2 linked regions of the Styela clava genome follow. Each later gene encodes a partner of the first gene's protein in a complex. Links are inferred from orthologs where the notes say so. Each region holds a gene or a part of one and is shown on either strand. Other genes may lie near its edges.

What was found. The genes of interacting proteins can lie anywhere in the genome.
Region 2: the proteins of phosphatidylinositol 4-kinase beta-like (region 1) and Golgi resident protein GCP60-like are in contact, whole or in part, in an NMR structure (PDB 2N73), measured with the Homo sapiens proteins. The link is inferred for Styela clava from reciprocal best matches to the Homo sapiens genes PI4KB and ACBD3. Residues at the interface, in NP_001317650.1 of Homo sapiens: Val37, Gly38, Val42, Ile43, Asp44, Pro45, Val47, Ala48, Gln49, Lys50, Ala51, Cys52, Glu54, Val55, Leu56, Val59, Lys60, His63; in NP_073572.2 of Homo sapiens: Gln245, Ile246, Ala249, Leu250, Gln253, Thr254, Gln257, Phe258, Tyr261, Gln265, Tyr266, Leu276, Leu280, Gln283, His284, Gln287, Tyr288, Gln291, Leu292, Val295.

The regions. Positions count from the first base shown.
Region 1 is NC_135250.1:14,274,322-14,282,438, forward strand, and holds the start of phosphatidylinositol 4-kinase beta-like, read right to left. Parts: upstream 3,082-8,117; 5' UTR 2,837-3,081; coding exon 2,078-2,836; intron 1,165-2,077; coding exon 974-1,164; intron 1-973. UniProt on the Homo sapiens protein: Phosphorylates phosphatidylinositol (PI) in the first committed step in the production of the second messenger inositol-1,4,5,-trisphosphate (PIP). May regulate Golgi disintegration/reorganization during mitosis, possibly via its phosphorylation.
Region 2 is NC_135250.1:774,254-781,676, reverse strand, and holds the start of Golgi resident protein GCP60-like, read right to left. Parts: upstream 3,118-7,423; 5' UTR 3,064-3,117; coding exon 2,832-3,063; intron 2,467-2,831; coding exon 2,319-2,466; intron 1,556-2,318; coding exon 1,415-1,555; intron 229-1,414; coding exon 91-228; intron 1-90. UniProt on the Homo sapiens protein: Involved in the maintenance of Golgi structure by interacting with giantin, affecting protein transport between the endoplasmic reticulum and Golgi. Involved in hormone-induced steroid biosynthesis in testicular Leydig cells.

The DNA of each region.
Region 1 (8,117 bases):
TACACCAAAATAATACTTCACAAAGTAACATATGTTATATACAGACAGGTAAAAGTAAGACTCTTAAACAAACATCCCTTCATACTAAATTACCATACAAAGAGCACCATGACTAAATATACAGTATATAACATACATGAGTGATTATCAACCTGTTCCGCGGAACACTGGTATTCTGTGAGAGACCTTCAGGTATTCCGTGTCAAATTGTCGTCCCCCCAATTTTTTTTCATATATTTTGGTATATTTTATGATAACAAAAAGAAATCCAAATCCGTCAAGCAGGTAAATTTAGTTTTTAAAAAGATTCTGTCACGTGTAATTAACGTTTCCCCAGGAACGGACTTCCTAGTTTATTTACGAAACAATGGCTAAACAGCAAAATGTTAACGAAAGTGAAAATTTAATCAGTCGCCTGAACACCATTTTCAAGAATGGTCCTGAACATTGACTCGTTTCTGTAATGTCAGGCATCATTGGTCAAATTCTACTACCATGTTTTCAGAATTTAGGTTTGAATCAAGCGGCCATTTTGTCTTATATTATAAAAAATTACCTAAAGCTAGGTCTCGCGTTGGAACTTTGTTTCAATTGAAGTACCGTAATAAAAAAAACAATTACGAAAAAGTTAGGATATATTACTGGATTAGGTTCAGTATTTTTAAGGGCTGTTTATATAATTAAGTAGGCCTACAAAATATTGATTTTGAAAATTTAAACAGTTCGAATTTGTTACGTCTTTCACGACTCTATTGGTCTTGTTGTAATTTCATTCCTATGCTAAAACTAATCGAGAATATTGGTTATTCAGATGGTTTTCACAAAATCAAAAATTTTCATTTGGTGTTCTGCGAAAAATTAATGATATAAAAGAGTTCCGCGGTTCGAAAGACACTTTGAGTCAGAGCTTCCAATTTCACTTAAGATAACTTTGCCCGATGGTAGGGCAATAATTCATCTCCTCATTAGTTACCTTGCAACAATGTATGGATGTATTGCTTCTCTCATATCATGATCCATATGAATATACATGACTAAAAGTTCGGGCAAGAAAAGATCAACTTTCTCTTCAGGAAATGTGAAGAGCTTATTCCCCAGGTAAGCAAGTACACCAGGTTCCTTGGACTTGAACAAATACTGAAGAGCAATCGACATGTCGAAAACCTGCAGTTTTAATTAATATATAGAAGTCAAGCCAGAGATATAACACATCCAAAAACACTGAGGCTTGCTGGTGTCAGTGGGTATTGGGCAGAGCTGGACTTCTGGACGGAAATCACATTGGCTCTGGAGCCAAAATAGATTAGAACTGTGGCTCCAGCTCATGCTGCAGAACTTCATTTTACATTACGCTGGCCCCCAACTTCGGATCAACAGCCAGTGAGTTTTTCCACACAACCACTATCAATGTGGGAGCGTGATTTAAAGATACACCGTACTATTAGGATTTCAAATTTTAAAATTGAACTTTAATTACACAAATTTGACTTGAAACTTTCGAATGTGAAAAAATAATTGGATGTTTAAGAGCTGGAGCCACTAAAATTTCTGTTAGCCCTGGCTCCAGCTCTATCTATTATGGTAATCTTGGCTCCAGCTGCAATATATATATATAATTTTCAATGACAACATATTTCACAAATAAAACAAATCAGAATAGATTACATTGTCACTAAATTGGTGTACTGAGTAATAAAATAATGTCCCAAAAAGATGTTTTTAAAGTTTAGGGGAAAGCATAATTCAATCGTGATCCTTTTTTTGTATCTATAAAACTTTTATAAGGTTTGACACTCCAACTTTGGATTCAACATTATACTACAAAATAAATCATGCCTGAATGGTTCAATTAACATCAAGTTAGGCTCTCTTCAAGTTATTCTCACCTAACATGAGATGGAAAGAAGCAAGAGAAAATAGGTCAAAAATTAGTTGTGAAACAATAAGAAGATGGTATCTAGAAAACTATTGTTGTATGATCAAACCCAGGTTGGCAGATAATAATTTCACATTAAGTAGTTTAGTTGATGGAGGTAATTAGCATTAATGATGACAACACTAGAATAGCAGTACATACCTGTGATTCAAAGAGGCGAAGCAACCATGATTGTTTAGATGTTGAATCAGGCTGGCGAACCTGAACTTTGTTTGGTGTAAAATTGACGACACCATTTTCCGAAGATTTACCCTTTTTTGGCTTTGATTCAGAATTTTTTAATTCTGATTTTGTTTGGCAAGATTTTGAGGTTGCATCTGTTTCTATCAAAGAAGGTAGAGACATAGGATTGGATGGTAGGCTATCACTCAATGAATTAGCTTTCTCTTTTTTTCGAGTTTTTGAATTAAAAAGATCAAGATTTAAATTGAGTTTACGAGGGTCCAGTTTACGCAAGGCTCTGCCAGGAGCATTTGTACATTGTGTCTTGTTGAGTGCAGTGACCTGTTGGCGTTCCACTAAAGTGGTTGGTAGCATAGTCCTTGCATTTTTAACAATTTCTGCATTAGCCAATGCTGCATTCATTGCTTTTTCACATATTTCCTTGTCATTTACAAAACTGATGCTGATTTGATTTGAGACATCTTGAAGTTCTGAACTATTTGAATTAGTACAAGAGCTCGTATCCATTGGTGTTAAACCATCATTATAGTAATCAATATCTCCATTATTGACTTGATCGACACATTGCACAGTTTTTTCCAAATTTTCAAATATCTCTTTTGACTCTACCTTTTCTGTTTGTTCGTTTTCAGAATCACTCGAACAATCACCATTCACAAGCGTATTGTATCCTTTTCCTGAAGTTTTCTTCGGTTGAATGGTAACAGCATTCATCATTCAGTATTTCAATTATGACGAATTTAGTTCAGAATAATGAAAGTCAAAGAAATACTTGTATTTATACAATACATTAAATTCAGTATTATCAATGAGTTTCATTCCAAAATTTTTTCAAGCTTAGTAAATTCATCATTTATTGCAGCCCAATTTTACATCTGTGTATTGATCACCAGATTACCGGACAATTCAGTACAATACAGTAGATTAGACATATTTTATTAAACCTTGAAAATAAAGTTATTTTTTTATCAGTAAGCGATTGTATACATAATTGTTTTGAATTGTTGTATATATAGGAATATAGGGGTATGCAATTATATAGTCTATAAAACCATCTGCTTATGAAACAGGATAGATGTTTGATTGGGTCACCGTCAAAACTTTAACTGCAACTTAAATGACAAGTATCAATTATATTAGGTTGGTTGGCGATGCTAACCCAACATTTTTTAGGTCTGGTATAGTTTAGTACCACATGCACTTCTAGTTGGCCTGGCTCAAAAATTTTTGCATATGTCATTCCTGACCACCACCTGACTATGTCACCCAAAAATTATGTCACTACGACGCCACAGTGGCATAATAAATACCTCCAAAGTGTATGGATGGTCGTCCAAAACGCGCAGACGTTCACTCGAAATCGAGCAAGCTATTTCTCTCGTTTTTTTGTCGCAACAACCCTGATATGAGAGAGACCTCTGGCATTAGTGTGTTCGGTGGCGCAGATGCCATTTTTGACTATGCTAGCTATACTTGGCATTTTGGCAAGCTCTATGACGTGTCTGTGACATAATTTTTGAATGACATAGTCAGGTGGTGGTTAGGAATAACATATACAAAATTTGTTATGCTACGCCCACCGGAAGTAGGCTACTTGTGGTACTAAACTAGACTTAACCCCACTTTTCACACTATAGGTCTGACATGGGCAAACTATGGCCCGCGGGTCAAATACGGTCCGATGAGTAGTTCAATCTATGTATTTTGTGGTGTCTGAAGCTGCCGCAAAACCATGCAAGGATTTCCAAACTATGGCCGCTATGGTCGAAGCACGGTGGCAGACTTTTTAGATGCCACTGCCACTATGGCGTGAGGCAGGCACCACGGCAACAAATTGAAAACCAATGGCGGGTAAAATTTTGCTGCCACAAACCAAGGCATGTTGGCTGTAATGACAGGGCTGCCCCTATTGCTGTATTGTCTGATTGTGGAAAATTTTGGGTAAGTCTGTAAGTTGTAACCTTTTCCTTGTGGATACAGTTTTGATGGATTTGGGGTTAGGTTTCAGTAGATATAATTCGCATGATAAACTAAAATCTGGTACATGACTTTGTGAATATACCGGTAATAGCACCATAAACTATGGCAAGAGATGCTGCGGTTCGTTCGTGGCAGGACCGGCTATAAAGTGGTAAGAACTGCGCCTCTGAGACTGCCACAACCCAACTAAAATCAAATTTTGATGTTTAGCTGAAAAATTCCTCAAGAAATTTGTTGCGATTGCGATTAAATTTAATTTTGGCCGTGGCTCATTGTTTTGCGCATTTAGTTTTGTAACACTGTAAATATTATTTGTAAAATGTAACTTTTTACATCACACTAACATCTACATGGCCCAAATAGTGCATGATTGCCACCAGGTAAACTCATGTTGATAATAAATGAAGCACAACCGGTGTCAGCAAATCGATCTTAAATTCAGATTTGAATCAGTCGAGTACCGGTATCATTTTACTTACTACTATACTACCTACCTACTGGCAAATTACATCGTTTTGCTAACACCGGTTGTGCTTCATTTATTATCAACATCATGGCCCGTCAGTCAAGGTGGCAAAATTTTTGGCCCCTGGTCCAACCCTGCTGTAGATAGTCTATAATAGGGATGGCAAACCACTGACCCATCGTGTTTTTTCGGTGACCCACCAAGTAACAAATTAGTACATAAAATATATCCATGATAGAAATTGATCAAAAAAACAGCTCCAGGCAGCCAGGGTTTCAGACGTGCATGGAAACCGATTAAAAAATATCATTTCTGCAGAGTGGAATTCCCCCCAAAACCTTTTTTAAACGATTAAAAAACTTGCTGTACCGTAGTATCATAAACGTTATTCGAAAATCTGTACCGGTACCGGTATGCCTGCAAAACCGTTACCGGTACGGTAGAACATTAGGGTATCGTGTAGTTTCGTACCTCATCAAGTACTTCTATAGTGGGCGTAGCATACCGGTAACGATTTTTGCATATGTCAACCCTGACATCCCCCAACCTAACTACGCCATACAAAAATTACGTCATAGAGGTTGGCAAAGTATAACTACAGAACTACGATCGCTTAAATGGCATCTGCGCCGACGATAAAGAACTCACTGGCGGCAGCGATCTCTGTGCGACGAGAAAACGAGAGAAATACCTTGCTCGATTTCCCTGGATCAACAGTTCGTATAGTTTGAAGGACTTTATTACGTCACTGTGACGCCTAAAAAAACCGAGTGTACAATACTCTGATACAGGCAAAATTATGATAATTACAGGATTAGACTACCGGTATACAATGCGAATTCAATAAGCCGTATGATAAAATAAAATCTTAAATTCAGATTTGAATCAGTCAAGTATCATTTTACTTACTACTGTACTACCTACAGTCTGTCTGTACCAACGACTAACATACAGTCTGTACCAACGACTAACATACTGTCTGTACTGACATATCTGTGGGCTACCATGTTCAAGGACGGAGAATTGTGGAATCGCTCCACTTTCTTTGCCAGGCGTCGCAGCTACAGTGCCCAGCCCATGTGTTCATGTTTTTTTCTACATCTAAGATATTCCAACTCAAAGAGTGAAACACTTGTCGTGGTGCATTAGCTCAGCTGACATCAGTCCGCGATGAGTGGGAAAGCTATCGACTGTGGCTCACCCAGTCGGCACGGTACACGGACAACGTCACCTGCTGAACACGCAGAAGATTCACCAATAGTTCCCAAAAGCAAATCTTCGATGTCAATAGAGATATATTAGCGCAGTGGTTCCCAACCGATGGGAAATTTCCCACTAGTGGGAAATTTGGAGGTTGCAGGTGGGGAATAGAATGCCCCTCTAAAAATGTACGCACAACAACACAATTATTGAATATTACATAATGAAAAACACAATATATGTCATGAAGCGGAAAATGATTCCCATTCAATTAATCGAAACTTTAGTAAAATATCACGTTGTTGGCCATGATTTTTTGATCATGCTACGTAACTCATTTTGATCGTTGGTCGGCCGATAACAACCTCACAGACATGTCTCGAACAAGCACCAATGTTAAATGTTACGCAAGAAGAATTTCGTTGCAGAGCCGCAAACGAGAAAGTTTTTATTCAAATGTCTCGAAATATTGGGTAGGCACGCGCTCTGATGAACAAATATTTAACCGTCCCTCTATTCTGCTAAATTGTTTAAAAAAAAAGGTAATGGCTTATGTAAAAACAAGAGAGCTATGCTCAAATATATGGACACGTAGAGTCACATAATTTTGATGACGTCATAGCGAAAAAAAAAGTAATAGCCTTCTGGAGAAAATTTTTACCTTTAACCACTGAAAATTTCAAAGCAATTGGTCCAGTATTCGAAGAGAAAAGACATAGATGGAACTTTGTCTGTGATGATATTCTGCCGAGTAAGTCTGCGCCGCATTTTTGTAATTTAACCCTTGAATTGTTCTATTCGATGGATAACGCTGATTTTCTTTACACGGATCGTCACTGTCTTGGGATGCTGGACGGTGCAATGAATGTTCTCACGGTGGTTCAACTTTTACACCAATTGTAAGCCTTTCTTATAGAACAGTGGTTCTTAAACTTTTTTGAGCGCGACCCAAATCTGAGTTTCACGAATACTCGCGACCCAATCCTAAATAACGCAAAATGTGTTTTTAATGTTAGTACAGTTTGACTCAAATACAGACAACTATTTATTAGAAACAGTCCATTGACTCAATGAGATTGATGAAACTGAAATTTTCTTTTCATTATATATTCAATACACAGCTCTATTTTACTGAGCGCAATACGCAAGTTGTCACGGGAATCGATGCGATTGCGAGCTTAGTTTTAATAACCGTCAGTGCCAAAAATCCTCGCTCGAACAAGTGCCTTGTCGCGAATTGTAGCAGAGTCTGTCACAAACACGACATCCTAGCTGGCTTTTGATATCTCTCGCAATATACAACTTTTTACTCATCAAATGTGCACACACTGCTTCGTTCGTGGTAAATGGTGACTCGAGATGAAGTCACATTTTCTCTAGATATTGAATAATTTAATGTTGAGATGCGAGCTTTTTCATTGCGTTGTCTATTACAATTTACATTACCAAAAAGACACCCGTTTTTAGTTATTTTAATCCACTAAGACGATATTTCGCGAGGTCAACACAACAACAAGCGACGTGCATGGCTACCGATGCCATAAAATAATACACGTGACTGGCATATCAGAATTGTGATGTAACAATGAGCTCAAGACAGTTCTTTCCGTGAATGAAACTTTATATATTCCATTATTTTTAAATACCAGAGTTTAGAAGCTAAATTGAAACATTGGGAAAGCTGAAAATTCGTCCTTTTCCTCTTAGATTGCCCTTGCATTGACGACCTTGTCGCGAGCCACTTTTAAACTTTCCGCGACCCATGTTTGGGTCGCGACCCATACTTTAAGAACCACTGTTATAGAAAGTCCTACCAATTAATATTGACAGGAAAATTATTGTTTTTAAGTGAGTCCATATGTAGTGGGAAATAAAAACTCAGCCTAAATCGGAAGTGGGAAATTGAGATAAAAAGGTTGGGAACCCCTGTATTAGCGGGACCAATTGAAGCCTCTCTCGTTTTGGCGATAGACTTCCTACTTTTGCGTAGCGCGCAATGCATTTCTTAGATAGATAAGATAAGTTTATTTCAACTCCATAATCAGCAGAAAGGCGATAAAACGGTTGATAAAAACAAATAAATAAAAACTGATTAGGAAATCAGGAGAGTAAACAAAACCTTGGATAAGGTTTAAAACGTACAGAATATATTGTTCTTATGTGATGTGACAGAAAGCAATCATTTGCGTCATTATTTTCGCCTAATCTTGAATTGTTTATTATTAAATATGATACGCTAATAGATCACAGTCCACTATGCCGTGCTTAATTTATCTTTTTCTTTTAAATTTGCGTAAGTCGTGGATTAATAATATGGCCAACGTATCAGCCAAAAGCGAACATTAAAGATCA
Region 2 (7,423 bases), about 14 Mb from region 1:
GCAATTCCCATAATTTACAATTCAAAAGCTAATAAAACCTAACACCCATACTTTTAAGAAACAAATTTAATTGTGAAAAGATTCCCATACTTCTGCTCAATTTGTATTCTCTCCTGTTCCTGTCGAACTCTCTCTGCTTCTCTCATTTGCTCTTCTTTCTTTTGAGCTTCTTCTAATTCTCTCCTTTTGCTTTCCTCCTCTTCTTGACGAATTCTCTCTTCTTCGAGCCTAAAAAACAAATTAATTGTAAAAAAGGCTGAGCAAACATGGGAGGCGGGAAAAATTATAGTTTCAGTTGACCTTGGCATTTCAATGGTTGTTTGTAACTTTTCAGAAAAGAAAACAGAATCAAGAACTTACCAGTTTTTATATGACTATCAATTTATGGTGTGCTGGCCTAAACATGGATGCCTCACACACATGTGGACTTACAAAAGAAGCCAATCATAACGCTGTATACTGGACATGTCACTAAACAAAACACATGACCCAAATTCCAGCAAAGAAAACGCATCCCTCTGTTAGCTCCAGCCGTGGAAAATGCTTTTTTTTCGAAGCTGGACAAAATTCAACCCTGGCCTCCATTAAGAGGCTCCTTTAGGAGAAAATTTATGCATTGAATTTTCCAGAAAATGATAATTTTGTGCTCTCATTTTGAGATGGAGATATTCGATTAAAACAATGTCCTACTCCCATTATATAATTTCAAATAATTTGTGAAATATTCCAGAAGCGCTGAAACTAGGAGGCAAGTATTCATGCAAGTTGCAATCTTTGAAATGGTTAGTGCAATGATTTGTTTTTTCCGTCTCGTAAGTATGTGTACCAGGTTACAAGTTAGGACATAATTTTATCCTAATTTTCCTTATCTTAGTTCTATTATGAGTTCGGGGGGTACTCCCGAAGTATGCGAACCAAGATGGCGGACATCGGAACGTAACATGGGTAACAGGTTAGGGTTAGGCGATAATTTTTTTCCAATTTTCCTTATTTTAGTCCTATTATCAGTTCGAAGACTAGCCAAGAGCCTCCCGTAGTATTTATAGCTAAAATTATGGCCTAACCCAAAACCTAGTACACATATTACATTCCGATGTCCGCCATCTTGGTTCGCATACTTCGGGAGCCCCGTTCCGGGACTAGCCAAGTGACTTCCCGTAGTATTTGTACCTGAAATTATGGCCTAACCCTAACCTGGTACACATACTACGTTCCGGTATCCACCATCTTGGTTCACATATTACATGAGTACCAATATTGATTATATAAGAATGGGGCCATGAGTTTGAGAGTCTATGAAAAGGGGACAGGGCTGATCTTCATAAATTCACCGTTTTAAAAGCGTTTTAATAAGGTTGGATATATATGCGAGAATATTCGTGAAAAATAAAATGTTGTGAAAAATGAACTTTACCGTTTTCTCTCTTCTTCCTCCTTTTGTTTTTGATGGGCTGTCATAAAAGGAACAAAAACCGGCGCTAAATCTTGAAGATGTTTTATAAAATTCCTACGAGCATCGTTTGAGGAAATGTCTTCCAAGGATTCCCAAACTCTCCTGAAAAGTAGAATTTAAATAATTATTTTCAAGTAAACACAGGAATCTCCGAAAAGGAGATTGGGTGCTCCCGAAGTATGCGAACCAAGATGGCGGACATCGGAACGTAACATGGGTAACAGGTTAGGGTTAGGCGATAATTTCTTTCCAGTTTTCCTTATTTTAGTCCTATTATCAGTTCGAAGACTAGCCAAGAGCCTCCCGTAGTATTTATACCTAAAATTATGACCTAACCCTAACCTAGTACACATATTATATTCCGATGTCCGCCATCTTGGTTCGCATACTTCGGGAGCCCCGGAGATTGTATTGCAGCGCAGCTTAGATGTAGAATTTTTATGGCAAAAGTTTTTCCAAAGACTTCAGTTATGTGGAATCCCCGGCTTCATAGCTGTTTTCACGATTTTATTGCCTTTTACTCAGTGACGATCTTGAAAAATCATAACAACCGGAATGCACCTAATTCGTGAAACCGTGTTATATTTACAAAACGAGCGTGGACACTAACAGAAATTTTTGTCTGCCCTAAGTTAGAGCTGAGCCAAGTATATTTATAGCAATTCAATACAAATGTTAATATTAGAATAATATATGAAGAAATTTGACTTATTGCGCATATCTCTGATCGCACTCAAACAAGATGGCATTATGCTAACTTAATTCCATCAGCTACAACCCGTTCGGCAAGTCACGATTTGTCGGGTCGGCTTATATGCGAGGAATGAGGATATACGGTAATTAAAAAATCTAGTGTAAAACCAACCTTCGATCATTTCCAAACATATCTAAATATCCGACTTCAGGCAGTTGTGTTTGTTGTGCGAAAGGTCCGAGTGTTGCTTGCTTAGTTAATGCGGCGAGATATACTTTGTCTTCGTAGCTCATGTCAAACGTTCGTTTGCCTTCGTTTTCTGGGAAAATTAATATAATTTGCGATATTGCAGTTTTTCTATATTAAAAAATAGCCGTCTTTAGAATCAGAAAACTCATAATTTGGCTCGAATAATTTGGAAATATAACGCTGCCATGAGTGCTCGTAGCTTTGCTCAGAGATGATTTTCATCAAATCTGAGTGAGTGCCTGTAACTTTGCTCAGAGATGAGTCTCCTTTACTTTTGAGTGAGTGAGCGTAACTTTGCTTAGAGATGAGTCTGCTTTACTTCTGAGTGAGTGCCCATATTTTACTTCAGAATGAGTTCATTTAATCTTGCTTTGAGCGAATGCTGAAAAAATAAATAAAAAAAACTAGAAGTCTAACAAAATTATGAAATATCACCTTTATAAAATTTGATTGCCTTTTTATATGCTTCGTGTAACGAAAACCCCCAGTATGATTCTTCATCTTGTGTATCCGTTGATGCATAACTTGCTGTAGTATTTCCTGTTGGTGGTGTAACTTGGTCCGCAACTTCACCTTTGACCTCTGTATGACCCTCCGTGAGCGACACATTATTCATTTGTTGTGCAATATTATTTACAGCGACTGCAGCAGGCATCGCCTCTGCCATGGCTTAGTTCTAAATTTGATCGAAGAATTTATTGAGTGATTATTATGCTAAAGAAGAAATATATTGCAGTATGGTTTGCAGATCAAAAATCGGTACTACCATGGGCGCAAGTTCACCAATCGCCGCTCCATTTTAAAATAATATGATGGGTACCAGGTAATCCGAACGAAACGTGCAATTATGAGAAGGGCCAACAGGAAATACTACAGTACCACAGGTTGTCTCACCTGTTGATAATGTATGGACTAACGATGATTGACACAGAATGCAGCAGCGAGTTGTGAACATGGCCGCTACCTTGTAGTCTACCACTAAAGGCTCGACAGTAGGTGCATTGAGCTGTGTTTAGGAATCCTGAGACTGTGAGATGGATATATTGACAGAAAATATGTGTGAGAGGATTGCAGGATTGCCATAATCTTCATGTAACTGCTGGTTGATTACGGTTTTCTACACAAGCGTTTCTCAATATTTTTCGGCCACGGAACACGTACACTTTTTATCTCGCCTCACAAAACACCAAAAAATGAACTGTAAAATTGATATAGAAAAATTGTGTAATGTAGCGGTTCCCAATCGTGGCGAGTTGCCAAATGCGCCGCGAAAACTAACAGAATTGTGGTAAACATACCTAAAGTACTGTAGTATGATTGAATATTTTACATATTGCATTTATTATAAATGCTTTATTGTTTCTCAATTTAAAGGCTGTGTATATCCATCAATTCAATTCATTAATTCTACCATTCTATGTCGTTTACTTTCCATTACTCAGTGTTTGCCTTTAATGTTACGTCTATTGGAGATAGAAGTACTTGTCGCAATTTCATGAGCTGCAGACCAGCAGCTCTGTAATTTTTTCAGCCTTTCGAAGTAAAACCAGGCAGAGATAGAAGAAGAAGATTTGACCTTTTGCCTTTATTCTTTAGACCAGGGGTTCTCAACCTGGACCAGGGGTACTTGGATAGCAGTCGAATTTTATATTAATATCCTTAACAAAATGAAACTGACATACCCAAACAGCCAAAAGGATTGCTGTAAACTTGATATTGAACTTACTGACTTGAACAGTCAAAAAGCTAAGCCAACGGTTTTATGGTAGCATACCGTAAAAGCAGGTAACTTCGGATGATTTCACTATATTATGAACAATTTCTCCGCCGTTTATTGTTCAATTGAAGCCAAAATTGGAATATAATACAATGAAGCCTTTCTCTTCACGATAAACTCGGTTTCATATCAGTCAATACCTTTTTTCAATCAAATTATTGACTTTATTTGTCTGCAGATCTGTATTCCCAATGTTTCTAACTTCGGATGCCCACTTTTCGCTTTGCGTCACTTCGTCGTGAGAGAGAAATGTCTGCGTGATCAGTGACGCGTGATAACGTCGCTGCGTAGAACTTACGATGCCGTGATCCGTTTTGCGTGTCGCACACTGACGTTCATCTATGACGGCCGTTTTATTTTTTCCCGATTGTTAATTCTTTCGGGTCGGCGGGTATTGAAGTTTTATATATCTGGTCAATGACATTAGCAGCATGCTTAATGTCATTGATCTGGTATACCCGTGCGTTTACATCGGCAACAGCTCTTGAAGACAAGAAGGACTGATTTCAAAACCCAAATTAATTTTATTCTGATTTTTATCGTATGTGTTGGCTTTGATCTTATCACTGTTTGTATATTATTAATCGTTCGAGTTTAAAGAGAACGATGATATTATTATCGACACCGGGATGGAGATGTTTATTAAGACGATGATTGACGTTCTTATGCTTTGCACCTGCGATTGCACGAATCCTGAATTTTTATTTATTATAATAATTGAATAAATCGGTCGTTATGCATTTATACTTGTCATAAGGCTTTTGGTCCTAATAGCGGGTCGGACGCTAAATATATATAACTATTTCCCTCAGGTTTTAACGTATTTTTTTTGGACAAAACAATAACCCGACGGTTATTATAGCTAAAATCGTTACCGACTAACTCACAATTTTATCTACGGAATTTGCGAACTCAGCACTTTACCCGCCGATTTTGACAGTGTCACGCCATAATTATTACCGCTAAAATGCTTCAAAATACAACGCATGTAATAATTTATGATTATTTTGCCCATCGCTATTTCTGACATTTCGCAAAACTAAACCATTTACTTCTGACTATTCTTAATTTCATGAAAGTGCTAGATTTTGCTAATATGATCATTTTAATACAAAACAAAAATTAGACAACATGGGACAAATGAAAATAAAAAAACGGACGCATAAACTAAGTCGTAAAAATGGAAGTGGAAAACAATTTTTAATACGAAACAAAAATGAAACGAATGAAAATAATAAAAAAACGAATGATGAATTACGATAGGTAGTAAAAAATGGCAGTGGAAATGGAAAACAATACGGAACGGTGGAGCTTGTGGCTCGTGTTCATAATTCAGATATAATGTATTCACAGGCAGATAGACAAAGTCAAATGACATGAAACGGATAAAACGCCAAATAGAAACTTTGATACTCTTTTCTTCATTTAGCGACTTACTCGTATGTGGTCCAACCTGCTACTGAGTGCACCTGAGTTTCATGCTCACCTGTGCAACATTCTACGCTTAAGATATTATCATCGTAAACATACATACTTTATCATTGTGATAGTATAGAAACGCGTAACTGGCTGTTCATTAGCCTTACGTATCAACAACATCTATACGTTCGGAGAATGAATGCAAAAATATTGACGCACAAATTTGATGTGCTTTAAACGGATTCACAATGAATAAACAGCAGATGACTGGGGCTATAATGAAGTTTTTGTAGGATTTGGTGACTACAGGACTAGGATCAGGTAGGAGCTTTCACTTTATATTTAACTACACGTGGCGCCACATAGTCTGGCGTTCAAATGTCGCAGCGAGTTACGCACGAGCTACGCAATGTGACGTCGGCGTTAGATGGAGCGAAATTGAATCACGTTGTTGACGTCACGTTCAGTGTAAGCATCGTAACGTCGATATTTTGACGAAATTTTCAAATCAAAATAATATATTTTACTTGAATCGCACGCGACATCTCGTGATCACTGTAATTTTCCTTGTACATTGTGTATGCCCTCTAGCGATTGACGGTCTTTTAGTGAAGTTAGCGTCGGCAGAAGTCGCTATGTTAGCCGCTCAAAAACAAGGCTGCAAGGTGTCAATTTTTGGCTAAAATGTGATTTTTTGTGTCAAAAAATAAATAAGATTAGGCGATTGAAAATGATAACAGATTTAGATATATAAGGACTCTCTATAGAAACTGCCAGAAGCAAAATATGACGTAATTTAGTCAAGATATAAACGACTGAAAATTTCATCCTAAGTTACAAACCATCCGAAGTTACCTGCGTTTACGGTTAGGCTGTGTTTCCCCATACATGCCATATGATTAATCAGTCTAATCGACTTCACTCTCCACCAGGATAATTATGAAAATCCTATCCTATATGCCCGTGGCTTGGTGTTTTACCTAAGCCTACCGCCTGAACCTATACTGGTGTCGTACCGCCACCGAAACACCAGTCCAGGTTGACGGTCCTGCCTTGGCACCGGTACCGTAACTCTTGAAGGTCCGCCCGGCTACGGACTCGTAGGACAACGAGATAAGCGTCTAACAATATAATAAGGCTGTTTCATCAGCCAATATACGTCATCTTTGTGGAATTAATACTGTATATATAATTCTGATTCCTCAAAGTCTAAAACAAGCAAACCCAGAGATCCCGCACAAGTTTTCAAGACACGTACTCTGAATTAGCTACAGCAAATTCGCCGAGCTTGTGGTTGGTCTTTGACCCAAGGCGAAGATTAGGGATTACGAACTAACATTCAAAAAAGAAAAGAGATAACTCAATTCAATGAGCATATATACAATGAGTGGAAACTTGCAAAGATTTGCTCATTTTGGTATTGTTCCCTGCATTTTTTACGTCGTCCGGCTAAATGGTTCGTTGCATATTAAGAAAACGCATTGCTCGCTGCCAAAATCCCTTGCTTCAGCTGAGTCGGGTGCGAAATTGGCCGTATTGAGGTCTTTAATTCTTCAATACATATTTGGTTTTGGGTTTCGAAGTATGGTACGCTGAAAGCATACAACTATGAGCATATTCTTATTGGGAATGCATATCTATTAGACAGAAAACGTAGCTACAGTACAGAATATGAACCAATCGCCCAGTGGGGTGCGGTTATTTATGTATTTATTAGGATAATGAGAATAAGGATAAGACTTTACATATTTATCCCGGGGGAAAGGAAAGCCGATAAGACGACTTATCCATATGGCGAACCACGGCCTCTCGTCCGGTTACCATTCCAAGT